Coturnix japonica: one gene and its partners. The protein of the gene in region 1 binds, or shares a complex with, the protein of each later gene. Links are inferred from orthologs where the notes say so. Each region holds a gene or a part of one and is shown in the gene's direction. Other genes may lie near its edges.

The links. Proteins that work in one complex are often made in the same cells at the same time.
Region 2: G3BP1 (region 1) and ELAVL4 share a complex: the UniProt entries of both Homo sapiens proteins name them as parts of the TAU mRNP complex. The link is inferred for Coturnix japonica from reciprocal best matches to the Homo sapiens genes G3BP1 and ELAVL4.
Region 3: the proteins of G3BP1 (region 1) and CAPRIN1 are in contact, whole or in part, in a crystal structure (PDB 8TH7), measured with the Homo sapiens proteins. The link is inferred for Coturnix japonica from reciprocal best matches to the Homo sapiens genes G3BP1 and CAPRIN1. Residues at the interface, in NP_005745.1 of Homo sapiens: Glu4, Lys5, Pro6, Ser7, Leu10, Val11, Glu14, Phe15, Arg17, Gln18, Thr21, Leu22, Met29, His31, Arg32, Phe33, Tyr34, Gly35, Lys36, Gln58, Lys59, His62, Leu114, Glu117, Asn122, Lys123, Phe124, Tyr125; in NP_005889.3 of Homo sapiens: Met363, Gln365, Met366, Gln367, Gly368, Pro369, Tyr370, Asn371, Phe372, Ile373, Gln374, Asp375, Ser376, Met377, Leu378.

What each region holds. Positions count from the first base shown.
Region 1 is NC_029528.1:5,160,804-5,167,006, forward strand, and holds the start of G3BP1 (ras GTPase-activating protein-binding protein 1), read left to right. Parts: upstream 1-2,049; 5' UTR 2,050-2,181; intron 2,182-6,203. Other genes in the region: copper transport protein ATOX1, read right to left, coding at 1-4, 708-713. UniProt on the Homo sapiens protein: Protein involved in various processes, such as stress granule formation and innate immunity. Plays an essential role in stress granule formation.
Region 2 is NC_029523.1:21,013,511-21,019,472, forward strand, and holds the start of ELAVL4 (ELAV-like protein 4), read left to right. Parts: upstream 1-2,302; 5' UTR 2,303-2,362; coding exon 2,363-2,479; intron 2,480-4,309; exon of another isoform or gene 4,310-4,718; coding exon of another isoform or gene 4,719-4,727; intron 4,728-4,888; exon of another isoform or gene 4,889-4,919; coding exon of another isoform or gene 4,920-5,033; intron 5,034-5,156; exon of another isoform or gene 5,157-5,421; coding exon of another isoform or gene 5,422-5,445; intron 5,446-5,962. UniProt on the Homo sapiens protein: RNA-binding protein that is involved in the post-transcriptional regulation of mRNAs. Plays a role in the regulation of mRNA stability, alternative splicing and translation.
Region 3 is NC_029520.1:6,354,858-6,360,785, reverse strand, and holds the start of CAPRIN1 (caprin-1), read left to right. Parts: upstream 1-2,268; 5' UTR 2,269-2,458; intron 2,459-2,741; 5' UTR 2,742-2,743; coding exon 2,744-2,947; intron 2,948-5,928. UniProt on the Homo sapiens protein: mRNA-binding protein that acts as a regulator of mRNAs transport, translation and/or stability, and which is involved in neurogenesis, synaptic plasticity in neurons and cell proliferation and migration in multiple cell types.

The sequences.
Region 1 (6,203 bases):
GTTTCTGCAAGAAGACAGATGAGGGTTCAGCAGCATTCACCACCACCTGGAGGGTCCTCTGGAGGCTGCCTGCTCCAACCATGCACTGGAATCAGGACACCTCCAGGGCCAGCACAGCTCTCAGGGGGTTCTCCTGGCCCTGCTAGGCAGGGGGGTTGGAACTACATGATCCTTGAGGTCCCTTCCAACCCGGGTCATTCTGTGATTCTGTGATTCTCCTGGACCCATTGTATGCACAGCCCAGGAGGAGCAAGCCTGCTGCTTTGCTCTGCAATGCCTATCCTATCATATATCATATCATCATGCCCCAAACTCATAAAAACATCATGAAAATAAGCTTGAGGACCACTACCCGCAGTACTCACAGTGCACACATGCGTGGCCCTAAGGCTATCCACTGTGCTCAGCCTTCTGTACGGGACAGGCCCTATCTCCTTCACCTGATATCCTTAAACAAGAAAATCAATGCTGCTCCCTGTCTCCCACCCTCAACCCCTCCATCTTTTTACTCCAAACCACCTTTAACCCCCCACTATCATCACAGCGCGGATCAGTGCGGAACTGAGCAAAACCAAAGCGCTCAGCATCACCATTTATCACCATTCCTATGCGGAACTGGCATTTCCTTCATGTTCTGACAAGCTCAAGGTGGTTCCATCCCCCGGCCCTTCGCTGTCCCCCCCGCCGCCCTCCCGTCCCGCACCCACCGGCATGGCGTGGCTCCGGCTCCCGGTTCCCGGCTCGGAGGAAGGGGCGGCGCTGAGCTCAGCTCCGCACAGCGCCCCCGGGGCCCGAGGAGGCTCGGTAGGGTACGAGCTGCCCGTGAAGCTTCAATGTTCGGCTCTTAGTGAGACAAGTCATTTGCTGCGGGTGTTTGGGGGCTTTTTGGTGTGGTCTTAAGGCTGAGCAAAGCTGTTTGAATGGCCTTTTAGGGACGATGTATGTTTTAGGATGTTTTTGTTCTGAGAACAGCCCCTTGGTTATGTTGCTCTTCCCGTTTTCCTGATCGGTGAGGCTGAATGGCAGCTCTATGGGTCACAGCAAAGCAGGATTAGGGCTGAAGGCCTTTGCTCTGCTCACCCAGGGGGATGCCAACTGAGAGCCCATAGACATTCATTGTGCTGCACACAGGACCTGGCTGCTGTGCTGCTCTATCACAACGTGAGCTCCCTTTCCTCCCAATGCCGCCGTGGTCCCAGCAGTGGTTATTTGAGCTGTGGGTCACTGCTCTGACGTTGAGCCCCACAGCTGTGATTGATGCGCTGGCAGATTGTGCTGCAGCCCTATAAATAGCCGGGCACACAGGGAGGGGGGTGGGCAGGGCTGGGATGTGGTGGTGGGGAGGGACTCAGTCTGAGACAGTCCAATATATCTGATAGTGCTTCATGTCATAGATATGATGGGATACAAACACAGCCTGCTCAGCCAGCTACCTGCTGCTCCTCCATCCTGCTGTCCTCAGCATCCACACCTGCACTATGTGTTGTTCAGATGAGGCTCAGGGGGTCAGAGGCGACCTAGTGAGGCCCATTGGAGATCTCGCAGCCTGCTCTTAGTGATAACCAATGCCCGTCCCAGCGCTGCCCCCCAGCAGGGGGTGGTACGGGGCACTCAATGCCGCCCCTCGTGCGGGGTGACTGTCCCTTTAAGGCCCTGCCTGTCCATCATAGCCCGTCGCGCCCTCCCATTGGATAGGATTGGATAGGTCCCGCCCCCATCTCTAACGGGGTTTACCAGCACCTTCTCAAGGGCGCTGCTGTGCGCTTCAACCACACTACGGCGTCACGCCTGCCCCGCCTTTCGCGCCTGGTCTCGCGGTCAGCGTCGTCCTATTGGCTACCGTTAGGTCTAGCCCCGCCTCAGCACCGAGAGCTTCGCCTCCTATTGGTTCGGATCGCTGTCTGTCAATCTCCCCGCTCCGCGCAGCCAGGCCGCGTGGTTGATAGAGTGAGCTGCCATTCATTTATCATCCCGCCTCCTTTCCCCTCTCCGAACCAATCAGCGTCCGAATGAAGGAGAGCGGCGCTGTGTGATTGGTGGAGCAGCCTCCCGCCGGGTTAGGCTGCGCGCCGGATATATGTAGCCGGCGGCAGAGCACGCCGTTGCGTGAGGTGCTTGTCGTCCGCCGGGCAGGCCTGTGCTCCTGCGACGCCTCCCGCTGCCGTCCCGCTCCGCCCGCAGGTGAGGGGGGCAGGGCCGGGCTGGGAGCGGGGCCGCGGCCTCGTGGGGATGGCGGAGGGCTGCGTGCACCGGGGCGATCCCATTTCCATCCCCCTCAGCGCTGCCCCCTATCCCCGGGGTAGGCCGAGGCCTGGAGGGGGGGGATGGGGTTGGGGTTGGGGATGGGCCCCGCTCGTTGCCGGCCGTCGCAGCGCGGTGAGGCCCGGCCCGGCTCTGTGGGCAGCACTGTGTGTATGGGGGGGGGGCCTATCGGGGCCTTGTGAGCCGGGCGCGGGGCTGCGGGGCGCCGTGCGGGAGTGGTTACCGGCCGTTGGGGCCGGGAGGAGGGGGGGGGAGCGGGCCGGCATTATGTGCATCGGGATGCGGGGCTGCGAGCTTTGTTCTCGGCTCTGCGCGCTGCCTGCCTGCCTTTCTTTCTTTTTTTGCTTTCTTTCTTTTTTTTTCCTCCTTCTTTTTCATCCCGTGCTTTTTATTTATTGCTTTGTTTGGTTTTGGGAGGAGGGAAGGGCGATGTGAGATAACCCACAGCTCGGTTCTGGGCTGCACGGGCTCAGCGCTCCCTCCGGGCCGCGAGCAGCGCGCTGCCACATGCGTGTGTTCGGGGATGGCACCGCGGGGATGGAGGAGCTCGGCTGCCCGCATGACCTTGGCTGGGCCGGGATCGAGCCAAGATTTAAAGCACTGTTTGTGAGGAGGCTGCTCAGCTTCTTACAAGGCCCGAAATGCGCCTGGAACAACGGCGGAAAGGTTTGGATATCATCCACGTGCGCTTTGCTCCTGATCTGGACGACCTTCTGAGTTACTGATTTTAACGGAGATACCCGGTGACTTCTTTTGTTAAGGCTTTTTGCAATGAATGCTCACTACGTGCACAAAACAATGACTTGGGTTTTTTTTTCTCCACGATTGGCTGAAAGCAGCATTTGCAGCAAGCAGCCATGTTTCCAGGCCATGCTATTTTTGTCCAGCCTGTGCTCTCCAGGATGAAGTGACGGCTTTAAGAAACGTGGGTGATGCTGTTGTAGCTCTATAAGCTCACGCTTTCAAGTGCTCTGAATTGAATGTTATGTGTTGAGTTGTTCCCAGCCAACAAGGCTCTATGGACAGGCATCAATAAGAGGATGGAGTGCAGGAGCTGACAGACAAACCCTGCGCTTTAGTTAGTTTCTATACTCTTCCTTTTGGCCTGGTTTTCACTTTTTTTAATATAAACTTCCCTTTCTCTGAAGAGGAAGCCTAGTCATTGTGCTAAAAGATCCATGATAATCTATGGTGCTGCTATAACCATATGGGCATCCTGTGAACTGGGCTCACCTCTTTCAGAGGTGTCTGAGTCAATATATTCAGTGAAGTCATCATTCACTATATTTACTTCAGCCTAGAGAAGTATGGAATCTCCTTTTTGAGGTTAAAAAATGGCTGAGTGGGCCTCATAGCAAAATAGAAGGTTAGTTCTTAGTGTTGATGTGATTTGGGGATGTAGGTCTTGTAATCCAGAAGTCACAGAGGATCTTTGTGATAAAAATCTGTAGTAACAATTAGTTCACTAGGAGCCAAACCTTCTGTAATGGCTGAGGGAGCATCTGAAAGCTGGTTCAGAGTCATGGAATCATATTCTATGATCATAGAAAACCAGCTGTTTCCTTTTTCTCTATGCAAGTGGTTATAATAGCATGTATGGAGGAACATGTAGTAAAGGGAACAAAAATGGTGTTACTGCTTGTACATATTGGGTAGTTCTGTTGGGAACTTCTGATAAAGCATTCATAAGATTAACATAAATGTCCTGCTGGGAAACAGAACTTGAATTGTTGTGGTTTAATATTAAACCTGAGTCCTTTTTTTGTCCATCCAAGCAATGTGACGAGAGAAAAAAAATCAAAGAGGAAATCAAAGTAGAGCGGGGCTTTGGGTGGTGCTTGTTCACTGTATTTGAAATAAAGGGGGGAGGGGGGAAGTGGTAGTTTTGCCTGGAAGAGTGGATCCTTTCTATGGATGCCTGTGTAAAATAGCCAGAATCGATGTGAAGCAACTGGCAATTAAAGTCCTGTGGGAACCGATAGTCCTGATGATCTTAAGGTACCTCACTGGGCAATTAAAGCTAGCAAAATGCTGCCCTCAACAACAACAGAAATCCACCAAACAAACCCCTTTATCTTCACCTACTGTAAGAATGCCTAAAACTGTGCAGGCGATGGATATTCTCCTGGTGTGGAGTCCTAGTTCTGCTATATTAAGGCTGGATCTCTTCCAGAGGCAGAGCTGGTGGAGTACTTGCTTTGAGAGCTCGGAGATGGCGAGCTGTCAGTTATGGAGCTCTTTGCAGATTTGTGCATTCCTTACCGAGACAAATGTGCAATACTGAATTTCAAAGCATTGGTGGCCATTTTCCACTTCTATCTGTATTGCCTCAGCCTCTTTCTACATCAACTTATGGTTCTTTGTCGTGCTGATTTTGTGTTGATGATGAGCGTCTTAACAAGGTGCCCAGGATGGATAAATCTGAGTTGGCTGATGATGTGTCTGAGGATTAAGAGTCTTCTGCAGCAGAATGGACAGCAGTGCAGTAGTTGACTCAAGAGGAATCCATTGCTTGGCATGCAGGAAGCATTTGGTTAAACCTTAATTCTTGTGACTCGATTCCAAATGGGAGTGAGCTTGAATTTCACATTGATATCTGTATAGCTAGGTGTTCTAATCTGCTTCATCTGACTGCTCTGAATAGCTTCTCCTTTTTACTTTGAGAAGCGGCAGTGGAGCCAAATAGGAAAAAATGGCAGAGCTAAGAGAAAAGGACTGGACCTGCTGCCAGCTTCATCGGGTTGTTGGAGCAGCTCTTGGATGGCAGAACAAAACCTGTTCTAATGGCAAAATCATAGGGTTTAAGTCACTACTTCTATAGAGGAGAAGTTTAGGGAGCTGTATGGGCTCAAAGTTGACTAACTTTTCATTAAGGAGATAACTGATAAACAATGGAGGTTATTGCTGTCCCTTGTGGATTAAATTGTCACAGCTGAAACATGTGGAAAAACAATTCTTTCCATAGAGTGAGATTGGGATGTGTCCACTTAGATATGAAAGTCCTTTGCCCTGATTGAGGTGAATAGCCTCTTTGGGAGGATCTGATTTATTTAGTCTTTCTTTGGATTAAAAGTGTAGGAAGACTTCTATGAATTTTCAAGGCTTTGAGAGAACTCAGAGTTTCAAGAGGAATTAATGTTGGGTTTCTGTCAGATCACAAGGGCTGTTTGCTCTAATACTTAATGCAGTAGCAACCTGTGATCGTCTGGAGTGGACTAGTTGTGCTCAAGGCAGATGATCTTAGTTTCCTGCCTCAAGTTTCTGTACAGCAGCCTTCCTTAGCTTGTTTAATTTTGGTATCAGGACAATTCCAGTTTCCTCCATGAAAGTAAAGCAGGGTATAAGCAGCCCAAGAAGCATTCTAGGACGAAGAGGAGATGGAACAAGGCATGTGCCACTTGTATTGGAGCTGTTTGCCTAACACTGCATCCCTGGTTACAGCTTCTCAGTAGTAAAACTGTTCATCCAGATATACACAAAGGATTAGTGTGTATGGAGGTTGTTGTGATGGACTCCTGACTGGCGTGGGGTGCTCTAAAACCAGTGGCTATTTACAGACCTGTATAGTCACACCAGTCTCAGCTAGAAACTGGCTGAGTCCTCCCTCAAGAGGAATATAGAATAGTAGCTGTGAGTTCAGATCTCTCTTGCTTTTTGGGCCTCTAGAAAGATGTGTAGTTTGGTGCCATGGTATTTAAGTCAGCGTTAGATATTAGGAACTTAAATTTGTGTATTCCCTGGAGCTTCTCCCTTACCTGCTTTGTCTCCGTTCTGTAAGGAGTGATGCACGGCTTCTAACTTGTAACTGGTAACTTGCAAATGTTTTATGTTCCCCTATCATAAATCTGTAGTGCACATTATTGAAACAAAAGTAAATAATATGCCAGTGAAAGTCAGCGTTGTTATCACTCGGTAACATAAGGAATAACTTGGCTGACTGA
Region 2 (5,962 bases), on another chromosome or scaffold:
GCACAGAGGAACTGGTGTGAAAGAGCCTGAGCTGGAGTTTTGTGTCCTTGCACATGAGAGCTCTGGTGCTTTCCTAATAGACTGAAAATGAGACTACTGCTGCTTTATAAGAGGTCTGTTCCAGCCACATTGCTCTACAGCTTGGCAGATGGTGGCATGTGAATGGTTTCATATTGATTGGATGGATTTGCCTCAGGATAAGAGGAGTGTGGGGCCTTCAAGATGCACTTCTGGCTCTTTTTTTTCGTTCTTTTTGTTGGGGGTGAGGGGGAGGGAAACGTATATTTATAAAACACTTCATTTGAAATCAGAGGAGTATACAGTAATCCAAGCACTGAAGTTACCTGGAAATAAAAAGTCCTTAAATAGATTATCACAAAGTCCAGAAAGCCAAGGATACTTATTTACTGAATGGTTATGCTTTTACATTAGAAGAAAGTGACACTTTTAATTAGTGTTCAAGGCATATGGTGAATGAGAAAATAAGCTTATTTCATGCAAACAGAAATCGATGCAAATAACCTTTCTCCTCATATAAAAGGGATGACTTGAAACTCAATACATATTCAAGAAGGTTAAGTCATTACTGCATCACTTTAATATTAGTTAAAGGCCAACAAAGAAAACCGCTACTCTGTGTGTACTTACTCAGCAAGGATTGCTGTGTATGAAAGAAATAGCAATACTTTGTAGGTGAAAAATCCAAAGAAGCCTTGGTCCGTATCATGCTTTTTTTTTTGTTTAATCACAGAAAATAACCTTTTGGGTTCTGCCTTTGTGCAGGTAGTGGCTGGAAGTTCTCACAGCTGTCTGGCCTGGCCTGCAGAGGCACTTGGTATTTGTTGTTCCTTCTCACACATCTGTTTTGTGCTCCCTTAGTATGTTTTCAAATCCTTTGTTAAGAATCAACTTTTAGTAGTTTGCATAGCACCGAGTGTGAAGGATCCCGATCTCATTCAGGCCTCTGGGTGTTGCTGTAGAGCACAGAGTACATTTGTTTTCTGTAGTAATGGAAGTATTCCTTGAGGTATTTGGCCTTATGGAAGAAGGGGTTGGTGGAAGCTCGCAGACATGGGAATGGGGAGTTTGATAAATGAGGAGATTCGTGCACTGTTAAAGTGTATTCTTCCCATGCATTTTTCAGTCATGTGCTTTGATGCGTGCAACAGTGATTTCATAAATGAATTTAAGCCAAACTACGTCATGGCATTATCTTATCAAGTTGTCTGTGATTTTGCTTGGAGGTATGGTTAGTATTTCCTAACAGACTCTACCCACATGTGAATTATTTACGTGCTGGATGTTGTGTTTTCCTTACGCACTGTCACGCTGAGCTTGATGCTAATTTTGTTCCGCAGTACAGACCATGTCAATGGGTGCGTTTTCCGTTCTAATTACATTTTGTTCTCTGAACTGACTGGGTGTAACCATTTAGTCCTTTTATTTGCTGAATGAAATGCTCCTGTGTAAATTTTAAGTTCCCTTTAAAAAAATAATGGTGAAAGTTTTGGGTTTTTTAAATTATTTGCCCTCCCTGAGAGGGAAGTGCACAGAACAGTGCAAACCATACGTATGTATTTGAATCATATACATGCTTTTTTCCTCCTCCTGCTTGATAAGTGTAGGGGTGTGGGTTCTGCTGTATCACAACCTAAAGCGATTGCAAGAAGAAATGTTTAAGATGGTTACTTGAATTTGTGTACACTGCCCACCTGGTGGTTATGGAGTGAACTGTTACTTTAAAGAATAGTTTAAACAACAGCCATGTTTGGGGCAGGCTAATCTTGCAAAGAGAGCAGTACATATAACAGGAGTCTACTGTGTGATAAGGGGGAAAATTCAGCTCACTGACTAGATGTTTTAATGTGCGAACTCTAGGGAAATAACATATTGACTATTCTGTTGTGCGCAAGAAAATTGAAGAACCCTTTGCAGACAGAGGGCTTGCAAAGGATTCTTTCTGTTTCTCTTAACCAAAATCTGTGGCAAGATGTTTGAAATCAGCAGGACGCTTAATGCTGCTTTGTTAAATAATGAGGTAATATTTTGTCACTTTTTCTGGGCAGCATCTGTTTTTTCTCCTTTTTTTCCTATGTTTATGAAGGCTTCAGATTAATCTTCTGAAAGTAAGAGATTAAAAAAATCGTTCTTTGATTTATTATGGTTTTTTTTTTCCTTTCCTTTCGATGCTTTTGGAGAATTGGGTTGTCTTTTATTTGCGGTTTCAATCGGCTGCTGTTGCCTAGGACATTATGCCACGTAAGGCTTCTAAACTGCACAGAGTAGGTAGTTATTAACGCTGAATTGGCTTCTGGTATAGTCCATCTGGGCTCTGTATGAGAGAGCTTGCTAGCGGCTACTGATGCTAAGATACCCGCAACCTTTGGGATGTATGCGTGGTGGAGAGGGGCTCAGTGATATGAGATCACTTCTTTTAAGGGAAACTGTCATTAATGAGTCAAGAAACTGCTCATTTATGGTAAGGAGAGGGAGGAGGGGGGGTGGGGGGGCTGGGAAACAACCCTGTGATTTCATTTTGATATTGGATAAGCTGTTTAAGACAAGTTTCTATTTTGTGGGGATGGAAGACTGCATTAAAAATATGCTTGCTGGTGGATTCTGGAGGGGCTGTATTGAGAATTTGATGCTTTACGAATGTGCCACAACTGTGATGCCGTGGCCAGGCGCTTACCCTGAGAGATAAATGGTACTATTGGAAAGACGAGAGAATAAGGTTGACTTTTCTTTTCCAACAATAGGATTCTGCCTTTGTCTTTACGGAGGGGAGGCCTCTGAGGACGGTTGAGCGTTTGTTTTAGTGCTCCTCAGAAAGCCTGTGTGTGTGTGGGGGTGTTTGTGGGGAACGCGGTCGGTGTGCGGAGCACCTGGATTTATAGAGAAACGAAAGAGCTGATTTATTTTGTTAGCGGAGCAGTGTTCAATTATTGCTTCAGAAAAATGGCTGAATCGTGTGATATGCAGAAACCAGTTTATAGCAACCAAGTGAGCTCAACTTGGAAAAGACATGAAAAAATAATTTCTGGGTTTTCTTCTCTAATTGTTATTAACCCAGAAGAGACCATAAGTAAAAAAAATTTGCATTACAAATTTAACTTCAGTATTCGGTGTATATTTGCACGTGAATGTATGGTAATAAAGCGGCTCTGTAGCACTGTGATGCCGGTGTGTTTGAGTGGGTCACCTCTATATTTGAGTTGGGAAACGGATCTTCTGTGTGACTTTAATCTCTGCTAGTTTTTACCAAGCTAGAAATGTGCTCAAAAAGATGTATGGGGAGAGAAACCCTCCGCAGCATCCTTACATTGTTCCTATTTTAATTGAATTCAGTACTCATTCCACAGCCAGGCTGTGTGATGTCTCGTACATGCGCTTTTCTCTGTGCTGGGTCGGTTTGGAGCTGGGCTTTGTATCTGACTGTATTTAATACATTGTATTCATGTGTTCGGTGAGCGTGTGTACGACTGTGTACAATGTGAGGTGTACGGCATGTCGGCTCTGAGCTGAGCAGCTCCGAGGGGGCACATTGAGATTGAGAAATAAAGCGTAACTTGTAGAGCAGTGTCTGTCCAGCTGGGTGTTTTCAGAGGTGTGTGTAGTGGTTCGTTCAGAGCTGCCTTTCCTGCTCAGAAGCAGCTCTGTGTGCTCTTAGTGTGGTGCTCACCCACTGCTCCGCTTTCACCCCAGGTTTAGGAGCGCTCCGTTAGTACTGAACTATGAGGGACCATCTTTACTGCCAGGAATGGTGGAATGAGGCGATCCCTGCGTGCGTGTGGAGCTTTGCGCTTTAGTGGGGGTGAAAGCCAACTCCAGGTCAGCTGTGATGAAAGGATGCCGTGCTGGCTCGGCCAACCTGCGAGCAAGGAATCTCAGAATATGGACTAGGGATCTCAGGATGTGGAATGGGGATCTCAGGAATATGGGATAGGGATCTTGGAATATGGGATGGGAATCTCAGAATATGGGATAGGGATCTCAGAATGTGGAATGGGAATCTCAGAATATGGGATAGGAATGCGCTGCTGTGTGACAGCTGTCACTAACCCGCCGCTCTCGGGGCGGTAGATGCGCTGCGTGGGGCGGCTGTTCTGTCAGCGGAGGCCGCGTGTGTTTGCGCTCACGGTGAACTCGGGCACGCTCCGCTCAGCACAATGCCGGCCGAGCGCCGGGCCGCCCCCAGCCCCATGGAGGGGCGTTGCGGTGCGGCCGTTGGGGCGCAGGGGGCAGCAGGCCTCGAGCCCGGCTCCCCTCCGGGCGGCGGTGCTGGGAGGGCCGAGTCGAGGCGGTGAGGGGCCGCGCTGGGCCTTAACGAGCGGCGCGGTTCGGAACCCCGCCCGGTGCCGCTGCGGGCGGAGGTCAGCGGCTCATTAACACCGTCAATCTGGCGGCGGCTCATTTCAATAGCACCTGATGTCGCGACGCCTCCCCGCGCGGCGGCGGCCAATGAGCGCGCGTTCGCCGCTGACAGATGGGGCCATAAATGGGCGCGGCGCGGGGCCGGCGGCAGCAGCGCCAGCAGCGGCAGCGCCAGCAGCGAGCGGGCAGCGCGGCTACACCGCCCGCCCCGCGCCCACAGCGCCCGCTGCCCACACTGTGCTTGGTGGATCTTAACAAATACCAATAAAAGTCAGGTCCCCGAAAACCTTAGCCAGTCTGTAGAAGAGTTGAAGCCTTTCAAGACCCAATATTTGCCATTAAGAATGGTTATGGTAGGTATTGGTAGATTTAAGCTCGGTCGCAGCGGGTGTCTGTAGAGGTAGACGTAGAGGCTGACATAGATTTCCCCAAACGTGCATCGCTCTCCGCCTGTCTCACACGGGGGTGGCTTGCTGTGCTTGTCCATGATCTCTCCCTCTCTCTTCCCTCTCTCTCTCTCTCTCCCTCCCTCCCTTTCATATTTAATGTCTGCGCGTCCTTTAATAAAGGATGTACTCTGGTTGCGAGGTGGCGGCGGTGCGCTCGGAGCGGAGAGCAGCGCTGATGCCGGGCGGTGCGTGGCTTTGTGCGAGCGGGGGGTGCGTGCACGGCGGCGTTCGGAGATGCGAAATCCTCGAGGGGGGGTGGGGGGAAAAAGGAGGGGGGGGGGAGGAGAGGGGAGGACAAAAAAAAAAAGCCTCGAGATTGGTAATTTTCTTTTGGTGGACTGCGCAATAGGTATGGTAATTTTAAAAGCGAGTGATTTATATGAGCTTCGGTAAATGCTGCATATTGTATTTCAAAGAGTTTCCTGTCATGACCTCATAAAAAGAGGAGGAGGCTGTGTGTGTTGCAGCGCCTAGTCTATGTCGATTTTGTTGCATCGCTGGGCAGCCGCGCTGTAAGAAGGAATGTCAGCTTTTACATAACGCTCTCTTTGCTTCCGACTCGGTGAGGGGCTCTGAGGGTCCATCTTGGCGATCCCAGATGGAGTGGAATGGCCTGAAGATGGTAAGTGAGCTCGGCGCCTCGCCCCGCCGCACCGCACCGCGCGGGGCTCTTTGTTCGGGAGCCGCCACCGCGATGGGCAGCGCCGCGTCGGGCCGGGAGCAACGCGGGGGGTGCGGGTGGCCCCGCGTGGGGCCGAGCGTGGGGTGTCAGGTAGTGCGGGGCTGCGGGCTGTGCGCTTTGTGCATCTTTATATATATATATATATATATATATATATATTATTTTTTTTTTTTCTCCTTCTTCTTCCTCCATACCGAGGAGAAGGGAAAAGCCATATTTCTGTGCGCGGATAGTAATTCTATTTTTAGCCCGCACTGGCAGCCGAGGGACCCGAGCCGCGCTCTCCCCCTTTTGTGCTCGCCTTGTGCAAAATGGCACGATCGCATCCCGGGGGCGGGGGGCCGCGCACAATGAACCCCCCGCCCGGTCCCCTCGCCGCCGCCACGGAGAGCGGCCGGGGAAACAAAGCGTCGGTCTTTTCCCTTTCTTACAGGATTGCCTTTGTCTGCCTGCTTGT
Region 3 (5,928 bases), on another chromosome or scaffold:
GAACATTGTGTTCAGTTTTAGACCCTGTACAATGACAATAAAAGAAACATAGTGGTTACAAAAACCCAAAAGGTTATTTACAGGAAAAACTCACCCACATGGAAATCATCAGTCTGCTAGGAAATGCTGAAGCAACATCCACCAAGAAACAATCTCCAAGAGATGCTGCCTTAGTGGTGGTCAGCCCTTAAATGGGGTCTAGAGGAGATGGAGTCAAGCTCCACCCCTTCCAGGAGCACAGCTAAATTACTCTCACCTGTGCTCCCACAGCTGACCCACACTTGCCTCAGCTGATTAATCAGAGGTTCACGCTGTGATTACCAATTTCCCATATACTCCCTCACTATAAAAAAGACATCAAGGCTCAAGAGGTTGTCTAGAAGAAGTGTAACAAAGCTGGTGAGGAGTCTAGAACACAAGTCTTATAAGGAACAACTGAGGAAACTCAGTTTGGAGGAGGCTCAGGGGAGACCTACCTGAAAGAACACTGAAGCAAGGTGGATGTTGACCTTTTCTCCTGTATAACTAGTGATAGGACTAGAGGGAATGACATCAGGTGGTGCTAGGGGGAGGTTTAGGTTAGTTATTAGGAAGCCTTTTGTCTCTGAAAGGCTGATCAGGCACTGAAATGGGCTACTCAGGGAGGTGGTTGAATCACACTCCCTAGAGGTGTTCAAGAAATGCTTAGATGTGGTACTAAGGGAAATGGCTTAATGGGAAAATACTGGTGGTAGGTGGGTGGTTGGATGGGATGTTCCTGGGGGACTTTTCCATTCTGTGTGTGATTCTGCACATATGCATTTTGCATCTGTGTGTAAGCATAAAGATTGATTTAGGATATCCTGTGATTAAGTTCACGAATCTTGTCGTCTTTGAATTCGTAATCAAGTTGCTATTTAATTATTACTTATTTCCCTACATCTTCTTAAGTCTCTCAATTAGCTAATGATTACATGCTGTTATAATCCAATCCTTTAATTTACTTCACATTACCATTGTATCTTAAATTACTACCGAACATAACCAAGTTAAATATTTGTTCATGTCTGGTGGTGACGCATTGCTTGAATTCACTAATGTCATTTTTTCAGTATGGTATGAGAGTCCCTTTGCAGTTCTGCATACATATGTAATGCTTTGTTTATGCTTTAGTGCATAAGCTCAGTTATAGAGTTCTATCTTTGGCCGACAAAAAGGCATCCACTGTAATTATGAANGATACATATGTAATGCTTTGTTTATGCTTTAGTGCATAAGCTCAGTTATAGAGTTCTATCTTTGGCCGACAAAAAGGCATCCACTGTAATTATGAAGAGCTTTGATTCAGTAATTGTCACATAATTATTGCTTGTGCAATCTCATGTAATAACCGTTCTCAGGAGCAGTATCATTAGCCTTTTTGCGGGACTGAAGACTCGCTATTTTCTTGTGCACTAAGAATCAATTTTTTACATTGATGGACAAAATCTTTATTCAGAGCCAACAGATATTGCTTCATTTACTATCACACATCCTTCCACCAACTCTGCTTTTTGTTTTCCTTGCAGATTTGGCGTTCTTTGGAAATACAGCTTTGAGTACAAACGATGCTGACTTTCAACATCTGAGGACACACTTGTTTAAGTGAAATACATGGGATTGGCTGATTATTGCACTTCTCTTATAACCTGTCATGCAAAATGCACTGATCTGGAAAGCAAATTGCCCATTATAAATTGCCAAAGCATCCGGCTGATATTTAAAATGCATGAATAGATGTAAAGGCTACAAAACAGTATTTACAGATGCCATGAAAAAAAATTCTGAATATTCAGGTATTAATTACTAAAGAAAATTCTGAGTATTGAGGTATTAACTACTAAAGCATGATGTCAAAAGAAGCTCTTTTTATTACCAACCCGAATTAACTCGGGGGCAGCTACAATTAGAACTGGGGCTGTGTGACTGTGCACAGGGGGGGCTGGGAAGGAGAAGGGGATTTCTCCTTTCTGATGTGAAGAGCCATTCGAGGCACAGCTCTCACTTGCGCTGCTGCTTTCAGACAAACACAAAGCCCAGTAGGACATAGGCACACAACAGGGGGCTCCACACGGGCACACAGGGGACAACATGGCGGACAGCAGTCGCCCCGCCCCGCTATTGTGTCTGGCGCTGAGGCGCCCACCGCGCGCCTGAAGGACCCGAGCTCCAGCGGCGCGGCTGGAAGGCGCCTCCTCCGCCTGCTCGCCGGATTCAGGCGTTCTCCACGGGCACTCTCTGTATCCGAGGACCCCGCGTCGCTCGCTCCCGCGCCGCCCGCCTTACGCGCTCGCGTGCGCGCTCCCGCTCTCTGCCATAGTAGCGCTGTGCGGAGGTGGAAGGAGCGGCGCGGGGCCGGAGTGTGCTGAGGCGGTCATATCTCAGAGCCAGAGCGCGACGCACCGAGTCCCCCCCTCCCCTTGGGCCACTCACGCACACGGTGAGGGGGGCGGCGAGGCCCTCCGGACACCGGCGGGGTGGGGAGGGATGTGGGGGGGTGTTAATGGCCGCGCTGGGGCGATGACCGTTGGCTGGGCGAGCGGCGGCGCGCCTGCCCGTCACGTGACCGCCTTGAGCGCGCTCCCGACGCCGAGTGAGTGGCGCGGGAGCGCGCTCGGCGGGCAGGTGCGGCTGGGCGGGGAGAAGCGGCCGAGTGCGCGCCCGGCCTCACGCGTGTCCCCTGCGGCGGCCTGCTCTCCTCACGCCCGCTCTCTCCCTCGCAGAGATGCCCTCGGCTACCAACAGCACCATGGCGAGCAGCGGGAAGGCGGGACCGGGCGGCAGCGAGCAGGCACCGGCCACGGCCCCGGCGGCGACAGCGGCGGCCCCGCAGGCGTCGGGAGGCAGCATCACTTCGGTTCAGACCGAGGCCATGAAGCAGATCTTGGGAGTGATCGACAAAAAGCTCCGCAACCTCGAGAAGAAAAAGGTGCTCGCTTCTCCCTTCCCTCCTCCTCCCCAAGCCTGGCTGCCTCCAAAGGGAGGTCGCGGGCCCCTCGGGTTCCCCCCGCTGGGCCCCGGGCAGCCCGTTCCCCGTCCCGCCGCTGTCCCTTCCCCGAGCTGGGCCATGATGTTCCCCACGTCCCCGCTCCGGGCCGCGCGGGTTGTTCCCGGTGTCGCCCCCAGGGGCCGCCCGCTGGAAGGTTCCAGAAGGGCGAGCCGCGCTCTTTAGGCCATTCCCCCCTTCCTCTTATGGGGGTCCCCTCCGCAGGCTGACCCCAAGTCGGGCCCCGCTCAGCCCCAATGGCCGGACTCAGCCCTGCCCCCCTTCCCCACCGGGCTGTGGCTGAGGGTTGGGGCCGACGGGTGTAGCTCCGCTACAGATTGCGGCCCCCTCCCGGAGAGCCCCCAGTGGCGCGGCCCCCTCCCCCTTCCGCCTTTTGTTCATTGCGGCGTGTCTCTGCCGGGCTGTAGTGCGGAAGGGCCGCCGTTCCCGGCCTTCCTGCTGCCCCGCACCCCACGGGCAGCGCTCCCCCTGCCCGCTGGAGCTGACCGAGCCGTGGGGCCGGGGCTCCGCGTCCCCCCCGAGCCGCGCACATGGAGGCAGGAGCTAACATGGCGGCGGTGAGGCCGCCTAAGCCTCCCCGCCGGAACTGCATTGTGCCAGCAGCCCGCACAAAGCCGGGCCGCCCCGCCCGCTGCTCTTCGCTTCGCTCCGCTCTTGCCCCTCGGGAGTCCCGGGTCAGCTGAGAGCGGCCTTTAGGCAGTTATTTATAGAAAGAACCGCTGCTAAATCCGTGATCCTCGGCGGGTTCGGGTTTGTGACAGCGAGAAGATGATGCCGTGGTTAGTGGGGATTTACACGGCGCCGTGCCGTGCTTTGAGTTGTGGGATGCAGGGAGGGGTTCCCAACCCTCTGAGCACGAGGGATCTTTCATTAGGGCACCAGCAGGCACGGAGCCTGTAGACGGACTGGGAAACAGCATCTCCAAACTGAAATTTGGGACTTCTTTGGGATTTCTTAGTGCTGAGGCCCTAAATCTGTATTAGCTCTTAAGAGTTAATAAGCACAGTTACACTTAAGCTTTTTAACCTGTGTTTTAGGTTCTAGTAGTCTAGACGACTAGAGTACGGCAAGCAAAAACGTTAGCTCTTACAGATGAATTGCGAATGAAGCGAGCTATGTTTTATTTTGCATCTGTAAATGTGTGTGTATGGTGGTTTCTCACTTAAACCCCACAACATTGGATTTGCTACTGCTTAAGAAGCAAAAAGAAATAGGCTGGGAGCTTTTAGATAAGCTTAGAATTGAAGGATCACTTCTTGACCCTTGTCTGAATACTGTTGTGTATGGGAAATTGGTAATCACAGCCTGAACCTCTGATTAATCAGCTGAGGCAAGTGTTGGGTCAGCTGCAGGAGCACAGGTGAGAGTAATTGAGCTGTGCTCCTGGAAGAGATGGAGCTTGACTTCACCTCCTCTAGACCTCATTTAAGGGCTGACCACCACTAAGGCAGCACCTCTTGGAGATTGCTCCTTGGCAGTTGAAAAGAAGAAATGAAGAGGATCAGCATGCCCTTACTGATGTGCAAGGAACCTTTCCAGCAGTGTTTTTATTTACGTTTTCAAATAAATAAATCACACCTAATTTACACTTGGCTTGTCCATTCCCTTCTGTTTGAATGGGCCTTCTGGAGGGCTTCTGTAGTACCTGAAGTTAAAAGGGTGTGTGGAAGGCCATTATTTCAATGGAACACAGTGAAATATTAGGGTTATTGCTGATTAATGACCTGATTCTTGTTATTTTTTGTATAACTGCTGCTGTGGCTGCTGTGATGATGTTTTGATCATTATGGCGTCATAGGAGCTATATGGGAAATTGGTAATCACAGCCTGAACCTCTAATCAGCTGAGGCAAGTGTTGGGTCAGCTGTGGGAGCACAGGTGAGAGTAATTTAGCTGTGCTCCTGGAAGGGGTGGAGCTTGACTCCATCTCCTCTAGACCTCATTTAAGGGCTGACCACCTCTAAGGCAGCATCTCTTGGATGTGGTTCCCAGCTGACCAAAGGCTTCCATATGGGTGAGTTTTTCCTGTAAATAACCTTTTGGGTATTTACAATTACCATCTTATCGTTATTGTCGCCATACAGCTGCTGACTGCAGGGTAAGTAGCTTTTTTTTCTGGAAAAGTAATTCCATTAAAATTACTTAGAGTGTCTCTTTGGGAGAATCAATGCTCTGCCTCCCCCTCCATTGATCCATATGTATTAAATAAGAGTTACTGATCTGTCAACTTGAGCTTGTCTTTTAGTTGGGGAACCAACAGTTGTTGAGTAGATGAGCATTCTTTCATTGAAGAGAACAATCAATGTGTAACTTACCGTACATGTGGACTTAAGTATTTCTACTGTATTACTTAATAACTTTATGAAAACGCATAAATTAATCTTCCATGACCTTTTTTTTTTAACTATGGAGAAAGCAAAATCACGCTGATTAGTGTCCAGTTGGGAATGAGTGGGAAAACTGTATAAATCACACAGAAAATTCCTGCTTAGCTGAACATGCAGTAGTTTGTCAGGTTAGTTTGAGGGCTCCGTTTTTGAGAGCTGTTATAACATCATATTTGTCTAAGACGTGCTTCTGGTGGATGAAGAGTAAGAAGTACTGCCTTAACTCTGAAATGCAGTGGGCAGCTTTAAGTTTAATAAGGGTTATTCCTTCTGAAGGAACTCAAAGTTGGAAGTAAATTGTTGTCACGTTCCATTTTAAGCTCTGAGCACAAAGTTGCATGACCAGCAAAATATGGTATAGAACTCATAATGTTACTCAGCTTTGTACTATTTTGCATGGGTCTGAGTATTTTGGAAATAGGAAGGTGTTACGGTTTTATGTTCTTCTCTTAAAAGTTATCTCATTACTTCAAACAAGTCTGGCTTAGTTTAAAGGCTTTTAAGAGAAACTGAATT